Linked DNA regions of Cricetulus griseus. The protein of the gene in region 1 purifies or fractionates together with the protein of each later gene. This does not show direct contact. Links are inferred from orthologs where the notes say so. Each region holds a gene or a part of one and is shown on either strand. Other genes may lie near its edges.

The links.
Region 2: the proteins of Faf2 (region 1) and Ubl4a purify together in Homo sapiens (affinity purification with mass spectrometry; 3 studies listed by BioGRID and IntAct, with this or other methods). This does not show direct contact. The link is inferred for Cricetulus griseus from reciprocal best matches to the Homo sapiens genes FAF2 and UBL4A.

Annotation. Positions count from the first base shown.
Region 1 is NC_048596.1:273,650,657-273,658,357, reverse strand, and holds the start of Faf2 (FAS-associated factor 2), read right to left. Parts: upstream 5,137-7,701; coding exon 5,074-5,136; intron 1-5,073. UniProt on the Homo sapiens protein: Plays an important role in endoplasmic reticulum-associated degradation (ERAD) that mediates ubiquitin-dependent degradation of misfolded endoplasmic reticulum proteins.
Region 2 is NC_048604.1:1,345,326-1,353,145, forward strand, and holds Ubl4a (ubiquitin-like protein 4A), read left to right. Parts: upstream 1-3,559; 5' UTR 3,560-3,673; coding exon 3,674-3,721; intron 3,722-3,881; coding exon 3,882-3,987; intron 3,988-4,237; coding exon 4,238-4,446; intron 4,447-4,562; coding exon 4,563-4,637; coding exon of another isoform or gene 4,638-4,673; exon of another isoform or gene 4,674-5,309; coding exon 5,310-5,426; 3' UTR 5,427-6,475; downstream 6,476-7,820. Other genes in the region: Slc10a3 (P3 protein), read left to right, coding at 1,280-2,713. UniProt on the Homo sapiens protein: As part of a cytosolic protein quality control complex, the BAG6/BAT3 complex, maintains misfolded and hydrophobic patches-containing proteins in a soluble state and participates in their proper delivery to the endoplasmic reticulum or alternatively can promote their sorting to the proteasome where they undergo degradation.

The DNA of each region.
Region 1 (7,701 bases):
AAAAGACATCAAGGTGGGAAGGGAATGTGTTGAGATGTCTGCTGAGGAAGGAACTGGGGATGCATATACTCAAGATACATTGTACAGGCCGGGCAAGGTGGCCACACCTTTAATGTCAGCACTCAGGAGGCAGAGGCACTGGGACCTCCGAGTTTCAGGCCAGCCTGGTCTATATACTACCAGGACAGCCAGGGCTACATAGAGAACCTGTCTCAAAAATCAAAAACAAAACAAATACATTGTATACATGTATGAAACTGTCAAAAATGTTGTTTTTCAAGACGGGGTTTCTCTGTATTGTCCTAGAACTCGCTCTGTAGACTAGGCTGGCCTTGAGCTCACAGAGATCCACCAGCCTGTCTCCAAGAGCTGGGATTGGAGACGTGCACTACCACACCCAGCCAGGATTATTTCTTTTAGAAAAAGAAAATGGATAATGTCCATCACATAATATAGCACTCCCATTTCACAGAGAGAGAGAGAGAGAGAGAGAGAGAGAGAGAGAGAGAGAGACACTCAATGTGAGAACTCACCCAAGACTGTAAAACTCACTAGTAGCTTTCCTTGGCCAGGATTAGAAGAAGAGAGAAATCAAAACTCAAATAAATCACTGTGATTTTTTTAAACGGATGAATGGCAACTATCATGTACTCACCACAACTTCCAATTCCCAAATGGAAACTCCAAAAAATTACTTATAGATTTGCTTCTACAATCCAGGCTTTAAATAACTTAAAAAAAATAATTTGACTTTATTTTATTTGCATAAAGGTATCAGATCCCCTGGAACTGGAGTTACAGACAGCTGTGAGCTGCCATGTGAGGGCTGGGAATTGAACCTGGGGCCTCTGGAAAAACAGCTAGTGCTCTTAAGCACTGAGCCATCATCTCTCCAGCTCTTTTTTAAATAACTTAAGAGAATATGAGTCATGCCTTGTTATCCACTTACAAATTGTTTTTTTGCCGGCGTTGGTGGCACACACCTTTAATCCCAGCATTCAGGAAGCAGAGGCAGGCGGATCTCTGTGAGTTTGAGGCCAGCCTGGTCTCCAGAGTGAGTGCCAGGATAGACTCCAAAACTACACAGAGACACCTGTCTTGAAAAACAAAACAAAACAAACAAAAAAAATTTTTTTTTCAGCCAAGTATGGAGGTAGCCACCTGTCATCTCTATCCCCAAGTAGTAGCTAAGGTAAGACTGGCCTACATAGGCCACCCAGCGAACCCCTTTCTCATAAACAAAGAGAGCTGACAGGACGGCTCAGTGACTGAAGGCACTATCTGACAAGCCTGACACCTGAGGTCAACCCTTGGAACCCACAGGGCAGAAGGGTCAATCGCCTCTCACAAAGTGTCTTTAGATTTCCACATGTATTGTGGCATGTGTGGCCCCACACCCACACATTTAAATAAATAAAATGTAACGAGTTCTCTAATTAAACAAACAAAATGACATTCCTGTGCAAGCAGAAGGGGATCACTTCCTCCTAGGGAATGGTACAATCACTCCTTTCTTTCTGAGCATGCCATCCCTGCCTTGGTGCTAAAACACCAGCCCAGAGGCAGTAAACTAAAGCACTGGAGAAGTCTATATATTTGAAAATTTGTGGACACTGACTCCAATAAAAGTAATTTAAAACACATCTACATCAGCTCGTCTTTAAATTTATATACCTATTATTTTCTAGTGGAAATAGCTCAAAACATAGTGTCTACATTATTCCACTCAGCTAATATAAACTCAGCTAAAATAAACCAGAGCCATGAGAATTATACACACATAAGACAAAACAAAAACAAACTTAAAAATATCAAATGGACTGAGAAACATGATGCACATGCTTTAGAAAATTCTAACCCAATCACATCACAAAAAGAAACATAAGAAATCTCAATTTCCTGAAATGTTTTATTTTCACTAATTCATTTATTTAGGCTTTTGGAGACCTCACCTTGTAGGATAACCTGAAACTCAGTATGTAGCCCAGGCCGGGCCTGAACTTATACCAATTCTCTCTCTCTCTCTCTCTCTCTCTCTCTCTCTCTCTCTCTCTCTCTCTCTCTCTCTCCCTCCCTCCCTCCCTCCCTCCCTCCCTCCCTCCCTCCCTCCGTCTCTTTTCTTTTTGGCTTTTCTAGATAGGGTTTCTCTGTGTATTCCTGACTGTCCTGGGACTCCTCTGTAGACCAGGTTGGCCTGGGACTCCTCTGTAGACCAGGTTGGCCTCGAATTCGGAGATCCACTCTGCCTCCCCAGTGCTGGGACTAAAGGTGTGCACCACCACTGCCCAGTCTAGCAATCCTCTTAACCTCTCAAGTGCTGGCACTGCCATTACAGGTGTGAACCAACATGCCTGGTTCAACTGTACCTTGTGAAACATGGACCCACACAGAAAACTGGCTGTCAGCAGTGCCACCCTGTTCTATTCTGACACCCATGGAAATTCCAAGCACATGACCCATAATCCTGGAGAAGCAAACCCCAAACCTGGTGGTGGTGTCACTCCCTAGTTAAGAAAAGCTCTCATGACTGTCTCTGCCTACTGAATTGAGCATAGTATTGACAGGTCTCCAAAATCTGGCTCTAGTTTACCTTGTCACTCCCGGTCTACTTCCTACAACAGATATGTCCACACCTTCCCATCTCCAAGTGAGAAGCCCACTTTCCCAGCTTCAAACATTCTCCTGCCCGCCATCTGCTCAAATTCCAACCCTCTTCAAAACCGAAAGGTCTTGTGCTAAGAGCTCAGACTTTCAGGCCACAGCTAGACCCACTAGATCTCCACGAACAGCTTCAGGACCTAAAGCAAATAAGTCAACAGATCTGTTTCTGTACCAGATACCATAGAAGGCACAACACCCTTTGTACTTTTACAAGGTAACTGTGTGGATTGAGCATGATGGTTATGCATCATCTTAAAGCATAGTAGGTAACAAATATTAACTTCTAAACCATCCTTCCTTCCTTCCTTCCGCCTTCACCATCAGTAGGTTTACTTGTGTCTAAACTCAAAGACAAAGACACAGAGACACACACATAGACACACAGACATACACCCCAGAGGGCTTTCTGGGAGCTCCTATTATTCATGTTATGTACCTTGGCTTCAACATTAGGATACAAACACAACACTCATGAATGTGGATTTCTAAATATATGCAAAGCACTATTTGTGCAAATTATCTGACCAAACAGGTTAACAGTCATCTAAAAAAGTTTAAGGTTATAACATCTGACGTTTGTGTATGTCAAGCAATACTTAAGAGCAGTCTGAGAAGATAAATCTGATCCAGGCTTGCTTATAGAACACAAAAATACAAAATGCATTTTCTTAATAAATTCAACTTCATACACCTTGACAGGTGTATTAATCTTATGACAATATTAACTTGCCAGCCACCCCGTTTCTGACAATGTCCACTGAAGAAGATGAGGAGTTCCTCAAGCTCTTTATCACACAAACATCGCCATATATACTCACACTCACACACGGCTTACCCCTAAGAGTTGTAAAGTGTAGTCTAGCCAAGGTAAATAAAACCCTGAAAGTAGTAGTCTGCAAAGAAGCAAAGGCTGACTGTTCACTCTTTAATTCTAATCTGGTGTCATCAATTTCTCTATTATAAACTCCACGAAAATGTCAGCTATGCCTATGATAGTACTTTACCATTTACACGCTCCCAACACATTGCCTAACAACACACTCGAACACACAAAATCAACATCAGAGCAGTTACAGCCCACTGTTAACTACATACACACTCTTACACACAGACTGTACAGCAGAGACATCAAAAGCCCACGAAGGGCTCAAAGACTGTGCTTATGTGACACCACCAACGACTAGCTGTGTGACCTAAGCACGCTGCTTCCTTTTGTTTGGAAAAGGCTGGCCAGAAAATCGCAATCCTCCAGCTTCCACCTCCTGTCCTCGGAGATTACCGTCCTGGGCCACACCCACTGGTGCTACTTCTTACAATCCATAGCCATGTATGAGACAGGGGCTGTCACAGTAGAACGCCATTGGGCTGTGTACTAATCGAGGTAACATGCTCAATGTTAGTGACAGTCTCACACATTTAGTGGGCGGCATTCTAACAAGCAGTGTCTGGCACTAAGAACTGCTCAAAATGAGTATTTAGCACGTTCCCTATTAGAAAACGAGTTCTAGTAACTGTAGTTCTATCTGAAGTCAAACGTTGATAGCAGCAACCGTTTAGGCACATTTTGACTGTTTACAAAGTCCTTTCAATACCTTGTAACATCCATAGACTCCAGTTTACCTCCAAAGCACCCTCAAGGGGACAGACATTTTGAAGTCATGCATTTAAGAACTAAGGCAACTGGCTAATAACGCCACGGTGACCACCACGGTGGTCTCCTCCATGCTGACCCTCCACCTCGGTTAAGTGCTTAGTGCCTTTTTTTTTTTTTTTTTTTTTTTTTTTTTTTTTTTTTTTGGTTAACGTAACATCCACTAAGAGGAGGCCGAGTCCTGCAAGTTTCCACCCTCCAGGAGAGCCAGCAGTTCAGGAGAGAGCCGAAGGTAACAAGATCCGGTCAGAAGCCATCGATGGTACTTAACGTCGCATTGTTTCCTCATGTGGCGTCCTCCCACTTCTCTAGGGCAGGGGCCAGGGCTGTGTGTAGCGCTTCCTTCCCTACTACGGCCCTCAACGCAAGACCCCGAGACCAAGAGACCCTCGGCCTCGGCTGTGGAAGGCGCGGGGCGGTGGTGGGCGGTCCGGACCCGCGAGCTGACGCCAACTCCGCGATGGGGACTTGGGGTCTCTAGCACAGCACACCAGCAGTCGACGGGCGCGGAGGGGCCGCGCGCGCGCGAGCCGGGCCCGCGCCGCTACGGGGACCCGGGGCGGCTGGCCCGGCGGAGGCTGGAAGGCTGGCTACCGACAGAGCTCGGGGCCGGGGGGCCGGGCAGTTGGCGTCGGGGGGGAGGGGGCCGCCTGCCGCTCTGAAAAGGGGCCCAACCCCAACCTGAGGATGGCTCGGCGCTCCTCTAGGGCCCCGCTCCCCATCCCGCGGCGGCCTGCGCTGCACCGAGAACTCGCTGCTACCTGAAACTGCAGCAGCTTCTCGGTCTGCTCCTGAGTTAGATCCTGCTCCTCAGGCGCCGCCATTTTGCCGCCGCCTCTACGCTCCTGACCCGTCCGCACCGTCACCCGCCGGAAGTGACCTCAGGGGCCACCGCTTCCGGCCCGAACCGCCGCCGGAACCCAACTGCGTCTGCGCGCGCCGGCGCCCGGGCCCCGACCGCGTCCCGCCGCCACAGGGCGGCGCGCCGGAGTCTCGGCCGCCGAGCAGTTCCGGGGGAGACCGGGCCGAAGCGGGGGCTCGCCGAGGAGCGGAGACCGCTCGGGTGACAGTGCGGCCCGGCCGCTTCTTAGGCGTCGTGCAGACGTCCCCGACGCCCTGGCGGGTGTCTCAGGACGCTGCTGCTTTAACGGCCGCTCGCCGGGAGCGCTGGTAATGAATGGGGTAACGGGGCTTGCGGACCCTGCGGCCCTGCACCGGCGTGCGAGCCCCGTGTGCCGCTCGCCCTTCGTCGCTTTGACAGACCCAGGGTGGATACTCGGACTAGGTCCAGGCGACTTGACTTGGCGTGTTTGACACCTCGCGAATGACAGACCACCCGGACTGTTGCTTTGGTCGCCTGCGGTTCATTTACAGCCCCAGGGCGGGAGAGGCACACTCCAAACCTCCAACACTGGAGAGGCTAAGCGTAGCGGGAGCATCTTGAATCCAAGGCCAACCTGGGCTACATAATCAGACCCTGTATCAAAACAACCACCAAGAACAACGCCCCTCTCTGCTCCGGTTTTTTCTTAACCTTTAGAACCTTCTAGAGAAATACTGTCCAATAAAAATACGTGGACCACACATACAATTTAAAACGGTAGTCACACTAGGGACAAGTGAAATTCTGCTGACGGGAATTCCATTCACTATGGAAATCAGTTTAAACATTCTCCTAAAATTAAAATTAGAACCACTACATAATCCAGCCGCACCAGTTCTGGTATATGCCTGCAAGAATCAATTTAGTTTACTATAGAAATACCCATATTCACGTATTTACTGATGCACAGTACATTATAGAGTCGGCCTAAGTGTCTAAAAATAAATGAATGGATGAAGAAAATTCTGTATATAACTGGGAATGGTTGCTAACACCTTTAATCCCAGTACTCGGTTGGCAGAGGAAGGTGGAAACCTGAGTTCCAGGCCAACCTGGTCTACAGAGCAAGTTTCAGGACAGCCAGGGCTGCACAGAGAAATCTTGTCTAAAAATAGAAAAAAAAAAAAAAAAGAAGCTCGGGGGGGGGGGGGGAGCGGTGCTGCACACCTTTAGTCCCAGCACTCAGGAGACAGAGGCAGGTGGATCTCTGTGAGATCGAGACCAGGCTGGTCTACAAAAGCTAGTTCCAGGACAGCCTGGAATCCTGTCTGGAAAAACGGAGGAGGAGGGGCTGGAGTAATGCCTCAGAGGTTAAGAGCACTGACTGCTCCTCCAGTGGTCCTGAGTTCGATTCCCAGCAACCACATGGTGGCTCACAACCATCCATTCTGAGATCTGGTGCCCTCTTCTCATGTGCAGACATACATGGAAGCAGAATGTTGTATACATAATAAATAAAATATTAAAAAAAAAAGAAAAGCCGGGCGTTGGTGATGCACCTTTAATCCCAGCACTCGGGAGGCAGAGGCAGGTGGAACTCTGTGAGTTCGAGACCAACCTGGTCTACAAGAGCTAGTTCCAAGACAGCTTCCAAAAAAAGCCACAGAGAAACCCTGTCTTGAAAAACCAAAAAAATAGAAAAAAAGAAAAAGAAAAAAAACGGAGGAGGAGGAAGAAGAAAAAAGAAGGAAGAATGAAGAAAGACACACATACACACAAAACAAAAACAAGGGACTCAGAGAGATGGCACAGTGGTTGAGAGTGGCTGCTCTTCCAGAGGTCCTGAGTTCAATTCCCAGCAACCATGTGGTAGCTCACAGACATCTATAATAGGCTCTGATGCCCTCTTCTGGCCTGCAGGTATATAAGCAGAGCACTCATACATAAAAAATAGAAATAAATTTTTAAAATTCTGTATACATGTACAATGGAATTTTATTCAACTATAAAGAATGCACTTTTGTTTGTAGGGAGGTGGATGAGACGACTGGAGACCGTCATGTTGAGTGAAGTAAGCCATTTTCACAAGGTACCACATGTTTTCTGACTTATAAAGAATCCGAAGCTGAAAGGAAGAGGGGGATTAGCAGGAAGGATGAAGGGGAAATGTGATGGGAGGGGTAAGAAAGGATGAGATGATCAAAGCATGCTTACATATATACGTGGAAATGTCCTTTACTTTGTGCAATTAATGTAATTCTAGTAAAAACCCCAAGGGAAGGGCTGGGCAGATGGGTTAATTGGTAAGTGTCTGCCAGGCCTCCACCAGGACCTAGTTCAGATCCCTAGCATTCACATAAAAGTCAGGCCCCACAGATCTGTAATACCAGTGCTGAAGGGCAGAGACAGGCAGATCCCTGCAACTCATTGACATCCAGCCTAGCCAAATTGTCCCAAATTTGGGACATAGCCCAGCCAGCCTGTCCCAAAAAAGTAAGGTAGAAGAGCTGGAGAGATGGCTCAGTAGTTAAGAGCACTTGCTACTCTTACAGAGGACCTGTGTTTA
Region 2 (7,820 bases), on another chromosome or scaffold:
CAAACAAAAGATTCTGGAAGGGGAATGTATGCCAGAAAACTCTTGAGCAGAGATTTTTGGATGTAGCAACAGCTATGAGAGCTCAAATTCTGAGACTGGGGAGCTCTGGCAAGAGAAGCTTGCCCAGTGGATAACTAACTCACTCCCACTATAACTTCCTTTAGAAGTAGGGATGTGCTTCCCACAAGGACTCCCATCTCATTAGTATAGGGCAGGTGGGACAGGACATGAAGCCACAGCAATGATATACCCAATTCCATGTCAATAGCAGGCACCATGCCCTGCAGACTTTGGTTCAGTAAGTCACATATTGCCCATGTCACTTTATCACCACTTTGCAGCAGGCAAATGGCATTCAGACTCCTCTATTCTGTTCTTTAAAGACCTGGATCTGGCACAAGACAATGTTCCCATCAGCAACCTATTTTTCTTCATTTTTTTCTGTGTAGTCCTGGGACCCATTTATCGTCCAGGCTGGCCTTGAACTTACAGAGATCTGCCTGCCTCTGTTTCCTGAGTGCTGAGATTAAAAGTGTACACCACCATGCCCAGCTACCATCAGCACTCTTTGTTCTTATCTGACTAGTGTCCTTGTTTCCCCCAGGAAGCCATTTTTATTTGATTTGCTTTGTTTGGAAACAGAGTATCAAATCCTCCAGGCTGCCCTGGAACTGGCTATGTAACTGAAGGATGATCTTAGATTGCTGTTTCTCTTGCCTCTACCTCCCAAGTGCTAGGATGACAGCAGTGAGCCAGGATACATAGCCCCTCCAGGAAACAGTTTAGTTCATTCCTACAGTGCTGTCACAGCATCTTGAAACTAGTGTGAAATGGGCTAGTGGTGACAGGGTTAGAGATCGCTCTCCTACAGCCCTTAGTACTAGCTACTACTTAGTAAGGTTACCAAAGTAGTCAAGTCCAGAGAATTGGGAGACTGAGTGGGGTTTTCTATATGTTGGTGACCTCTCTTGAGGGCTGAGAAGCTTGAGGCAGCTGTGCTGGAGGAGGAGATGGCTGAATGACATTCAAGGACCAGCAGTATCCCCAAACTAGAAGTAAAAGGTTCTTTGAGAGCCCCGTGCTCCTGAGCTTGCAGTTTCTCCTCTTCATTAGCCATTTTCTTTGCCCCTTCTCTTTTCAGGGAAAGCCCTGCTATCAAGAAAGACCACACAGGACTAGGACCTTCCCATGGACCCTTCTCAGGACACTACAACAGCACAAGCAAGGGTGTTCCCCTAAGACACGAGGGCCCTACGAACACTATCCTTTGAAAGGTGCCATGGTGGTCAGGAGAAGCAAAGGTAGCTCCAAGCAGTTGCCTGGCCTGGGAGGACAGGGTGGTTGTACAGGTCTCATAGTTATGCTCGGAACTGCCTTGCTGCTCATAAGCCTGCCATGGGGGGCCCAAGTGATGGCCAGTGCCAACCTCAGCACTGCTCAGGGCCACACTGTGCCACTGACAGGTGGTCACTATTTGAGCATTGGGGATGGTTCAGTGACAGAGTTTGAGTTCCCTGAAAAGAGTGAGGGTATCATTGTGATCTCTAGTCAGTACTCGGGACAGGCCAATGGAACAGGCCTCAGCCCTACACTGAGGGTTATATCCCTGGACACAGAGGTGCTGACCATCAAGAATGTAAGTGCCATAACCTGGGGCAGTGGGGGTGGCTTCGTGGTGAACATCCACTCAGGTCTGGCTGGGCTGGCCCCACTCCACCTCCAGCTCATGGACCTCCATGAGACCCCACCTTTGCTGATTGAAGAACGGAGAGATTTCTGCATCAGGGTGTCACCTGCTGAAGACATCCCTTCTACCCTCAACCCCAACTTGGGCCACTTCTCAGAGAACCCAATCCTCTACCTGCTCCTGCCTCTTATCTTTGTCAACAAATGTTCATTTGGGTGCAAAGTGGAACTTGAAGTTTTGAAGGAGCTCCTACAGAGCCCCCAACCCATGCTGTTGGGCCTCTTGGGCCAGTTTCTGGTCATGCCCTTCTATGCTTTCCTGATGGCCAAAGTCTTCATGCTACCTAAGGCCTTAGCTCTTGGCCTCATCATTACCTGCTCATCACCTGGCGGTGGGGGGAGCTACCTCTTCAGTCTCCTCCTTGGAGGAGATGTCACCCTGGCCATCTCCATGACTTTCATCTCAACAGTAGCTGCCACAGGTTTCTTGCCACTTTCATCAGCCATCTACAGCCGCCTTCTCAGCATCCATGAAACACTCCACGTGCCCATCTCCAAGATACTGGGGACTCTGCTGTTCATCGCCATCCCCATAGCAGCAGGTGTGGTAATCAAGTCTAAGCTCCCTAAGTTCTCAGAGCTGCTGCTACAGGTCATCAAGCCCTTCAGTTTTGTACTTCTCCTGGGTGGCCTATTCCTGGCCTACCACATGGGGGTCTTCATCTTAGTGGGAGTCAGGTTACCCATCGTACTGGTGGGCTTCACAGTGCCCCTGGTTGGCCTTTTGGTGGGCTACAGCCTAGCCATGTGCCTGAAGCTGCCAGTGGCCCAGCGGCGGACAGTCAGCATTGAGGTAGGGGTACAAAACAGCTTGCTAGCTTTAGCTATGCTGCAGCTGTCTCTGCGTCGCCTTCAAGCAGACTATGCCTCTCAGGCCCCCTTCATTGTGGCACTGAGTGGTACCTCCGAGATGCTGGCTTTGGTTATTGGCCAGTTCATCTACAGCAACTTGTTTCCTGTTCCATGAGGACCCTGGATCAAGTTTTATAACCCCAGCCCCCATACTCCATCCACTGTCCCCACAGTTCTGTACCAAAGGCCTTTTGTTCTCATGCACTATGCACTCAGACAAATCCAGGCTTTTTTTTTCCAGCTTTCAGTGCCAAAGAGGCCATGCTGAGTTAGAAATATATTTCAATAAAAGACAAAAGCAAGCTTGGGTCCCTTCCAGTCTTTGTCCCTTGGAGTGTATGGATGGGGATAGGAAGAGTGTGTCTGGGTTGATATGGACCAGGATGGTGAACAGGCTTGGTGACCGTGCACAGAGCCCACTCTCTCCTTCCTCTGTGCTTTGCACATGGTAGACAAGTGTTGTACCTTTGAGCTATATCTCCAGATCTGCAAAGGCTTTTCTCTATCAGAACAGGGCAGGACTCTGTTCTATAATGAGTGAAGAGATAGAGGCCTAGGTCCACTACTTTGGAGCCTCGGCCAGGATATTTTTGCAACCAGACTAGAAAGGAAGAAGTAGAAAGCCATTGGGCTATGGCAGGTAGGACTGGACCATTTCTGTATCTGAGAGACACTACTACATGTTTGCCCTGATGTGGTCCACCAGCAGGGTAGGAATTAACAGGTCAGGCCTTGCATGAGGCTGACATTCTGGTCCTTCCTTTCAAGCCACAGCTCCCCGGTGAAGCAAGCCTGACCCTACAGATTCCTCGCTCCTATCCCAGTGGGCGGAATGGCCCCACTTCCCTGCACCAAAGCCGCTGGAGGCTTGTGGGCCCAGGGCGGTGGACGCTACCCCAGGCTCAGGCAGGCGCAAAGGCCTGGAGGCGGGACCGGGCGGGAGCCACGCGGCGGGCTCGCCCCTTTCACGGCTTCCGGCGGCGGCGGGCGGTTCCGGCGCGCGCCCGGGGCAGCGGCGCGCGGCAGGGGACCATTGGGGTTTACATTGGTCCTAGTGGACGCGGCTGTGGGCATCATGCAGCTGACCGTGAAGGCGCTCCAGGGCCGGGAGTGCAGCCTACAGGTAAGGTTACCCTGCAGGCTGCTACACTCACACACTCCTGCCGCTGGGGCCAATGGCGGGCGGGGGAGGCCAGGAGAGCTAACCTCAGGAGGGGGCACTAGGGCTGCATCGCCCAGGGAATTCGGACTAAGCCCTTGCCTCTCCACCTCGGCCGGATCAGGTGCCGGAGGACGAGCTAGTGTCTACACTGAAGCATCTGGTCTCGGATAAGCTGAACGTCCCTGTGCGCCAGCAACGTCTGCTGTTCAAGGGCAAGGCCCTAACAGGTAACCAGGGAAAGGAGCCATCCAGGGACCCCCCACAGGAAGTAGGAAGTTGGAAGTTGGGGGACGGGATGTACAGGCCAGTGTAATGGATTAGAGCAGTGGCTGCCACTAAACCTTGGAAAAGTAGCTGAGACGCCACCACCCCATAGCCAGATGCTGCAGTGTTTCACTCTAGCTGTCCATGGCAGGATTGCTCTCTGGCCACCCCCACAACAATGAGGAAGGAACCCCACCAATCTCTCTTTGGCAGATGAGAAACGACTGTCAGATTACAACATTGGGCCCAATTCTAAACTCAACCTAGTCGTTAAACCTTTGGAGAAGGTGCTGCTGGAAGAAGGGTCTGCCCACAGACTGGTCGACTCCCCACCCCCACCCCTCTGGCAGCTGATCTCCAAAGTCCTGGCCCGTCACTTCAGTGTAGCAGATACCAGCAGGGTCCTGGAACAACTACAGAGGGTGAGCAGAATAATTCTGGACCTCCAATCTTAATGTTTCTAGCCCCAGCCCCCACCTATTACAGCATACCCCTTCCTGCTTGCACCCCCTGAACCCACCTGGTCTTCTCTTCTCAGGATTATGACAGATCTCTGAGCCGCCTAACACTGGATGACATTGAACGTTTGGCCAGCCGCTTTCTACACCCTGAAGTAACTGAGTCTATGGAAAAAGGGTTCTCCAAATAGCATTTCTGGGAGTGGGGGGAGAAATCCCAGGTCAGGCCACAGCTGCATGTTGCATTAAATGTGTTCTCATGTCGCAGTTTGGCTCATAGTGATAATAATAGCTGGTATGTACCCAGTTCTTGCTAGGTGCTAAGCACTACTCAAAGTACTTGGCCTGAATTCTCTTCTGCCTTCCACAGGACAGTTGAGGCTGCACTGTAGAAACACCTAGCAATGGCTTGGGACAGCCAGAATCCAAGTCTAGCCAGCTGTAGAAGTGCCTCTGTAGGAGAAAGAGTGTGTTGTTTTGAGGGATGGGCCTTAACATTCCCATTTAGCCCACTCAACATACACACTCAAGTGACTCCCTCAGGAAGCCACTAGTCCCTGTCACCTGTCCTCTAGTATGTCTGGCATACCCTTGGCAAATCTCCATAGGAAGCCAAGTGGTAGCCATCCAGAGTCCCTCTGCTGCTGCAGCCAGTGTGCTCTTGATGAATGACAAAGTCAGGGGCTGGAGGATCAGAAAGATACCCTAGCTCCGTTGTATGGCTTAAGTCAAGTTTCTGTGCCACTTAGGTCCCCTACCATTGAGTCTGTTAGTGGTGACCACTCCTCTGACCTGAATAAGTTTCCTTCCCTCTTTCCCGGCTCAAGGTGGGAGTCTGCTATCACCAACTGCAGTGCCATCTTGTGTTCAGTAAGCAAACTGAAGCCAAAAGTGAAGTGGTAGCCAAGCATGGGCCACAGATGGAATATCCTGGGCCTTTGTGACATAGCTCTTCTTGGGGGGACCCTATCTGCTTGGCTCCTCCTGGAAGTCGGTCTCATCCATGAGGGACAGCAGGTGACTCCACAAAGCAGTGTCACAACTAGGATTCTTCCTGGGTCTCCTCACCCAGCGTTCTCCCACAGCATGAGACGGATGCTTCCTCTGCCACCTGTGTACAGGGACTTTCAGTTTGCACACCTTCATTGCTTAAGAAGAAACTCAGGGTGCTGAGGAGGAGATAGAAATGTAAGCTGAAGACAGTGGTTCTTCTTTTCACTGAACCTATGCCTGGGTGCTAAAGGTCATGTAAGTACTAGCTCCTTTGAGGAGGACCCCCTGGGAGCAGTTGAGGCTGGAAGATAGCCACCTGCAGGACATTACTCCTGCCCCTCCACTCTTGCCAAGGAAGCAACTCTGAATGTTGTTGGGACTACACTGGCCTTTCTTGCCCAACGGCCTCCTGCATGGGCTTTGGGCCTTGTGGGACAAATCTTGACTCCCCATAATGGAATGATAAACTAAAGTGAGGCCTGAGGGGATGAGCAGCTGGTAGACCCTGCTCCTCCCTGAGACCTGGGGTACCACATCAGGGACCTGCTTGTGAGCACATATGTGGACTGGCAGCTCAGATAATAAGCTTACCAATGTCCTTGTTCACTTTGAGTCAGGGAATGTATTTGGAAAATTAAATAACACTTAAGGTGCATGTGAGACTTTTTACCAAGACGAACTCTATTAATAAACTAGTCTGCTTTTGGTTTCAAATAATTGGTTTAACAACACAGGAAACTTACTGGCTTACAAAAGTGAAAAAGCCCAGGAGTACTGGCAGTTGATGAACAATTTCACCAAACATCCAGCTTTTTTCCTGCCTCCCTCTGAATTCTCCAGCATCTGCTTCATCCTCACCACTACTTCCAAGGATCAAAGGGTGGCTGCCTGCAGCTTCATCAAACCATTTGCTGCCAGCAAGGAGCACTTTCTCTCTGTAACATAGCTTCTGTCTCAGATGCCCCAGCAAATAAATGCTCTCTTATTGGTCAGAACTGAATCCTGTGTAATCACTGGGGCTTGGCATATGGAAAAAGGATTTGTTGGTTATCAGTTAACACCTACTCAGGTAGTCTTGATCTGCTTTCCTGGGCACATAGGAGCTGTACCAAGAAGGAAAAGTAAATGCATGTCCTGGTGGATGCATATGGCAACTCTCCACTACAGGAAACATCTGAGCCAGAAAGAGTATGACCCCTTGGAGATAGTAAAGGAGAAAGGGATGAGGGCTCAGACAAGGAGTGTTTTCTGAGACTTGCATCCAAATGCATTTAAAGTTTCTAAATGCAGAGGAAACAAACCATAGACATGTTCATGAGTCTCTTGAGCCAATGCTTCTCAATTCAGGGTGTACAAAGCCTGCAAGATCCTCACCTTGGCCAAAGAAAGGACAGTGTTTAGACGAGTTTATGGGACAATTGGTATGTATTGCAGTGCAGCTACCTATAGAGCAAGAAACTAAATAAAGGGTTCTTCAGGAATTGGGCTATGGCTGAAACAAAACTCACAAGTGTAGGAAGGAGTTGCGAAAGGGATCCAATGATATCTGATTGCCTTGGGATGCTGGGGTAACTGTATGTGGGAGGTAAGGGACAGGGGAGGTGAGATTGGACATGGAGATGAGTGAAGTGCCCTCAAAATATGAATTGAGGGCCCTGTAATGGAAAAGCTGATCCAGAAAAGCAAGAAGGGGACTCCTTTTGATAGTCAGCTCTTGTATTGTTAATGAACCTTTTCTTTGCAGAGCACTTTTCTCATTTCATTCTCATCTGACTGCCAAATGTAAGAAGTGGATGAGGAACAACTTGAATCCATACTGCTATACCCAGGAATGTTCTGTAGACAGAGTCCTAGATACTGGAAGGATGATTGAGGTAGCTGCCCAGAGAAGGGGGCTAACAAAAAGGAGAGATCTCAGCCTCAAGGAGCCAGCTTCACTAACCAGAGGGGAGTTTAGAAGGGAGCCACAGGCAAAGGCATGGGCAATAGGTGGTGTCAAGTGCAAGTCAAGGGCAAGTTTGCAGAAGGGAGAGACCATCAGTGCTGCCACTACAGGAAGATGGTGGACCCTCTCTCTGGAGTTCTTAATATATAGCCAAAGAATCCTCAAGAATCTGTTACTCCACAAGATGTGTGTACGAAGGAATGGAGGCAAATAGGTTTCAAACCTGGGACAAATGGCTGAGATGCCTATTTAACATCAAAGCAGACTTGGCCTCCGGATTCTCTAGCATCCCTCAGTACCTACTTTTTACAGGCCATCCTGGCTGGCATACTTGGCCCCCTATCCTGAACTCTCCAGCCCAGGGGACTGGGCTGCTCTTCTCTCTATAATCCAACCATTT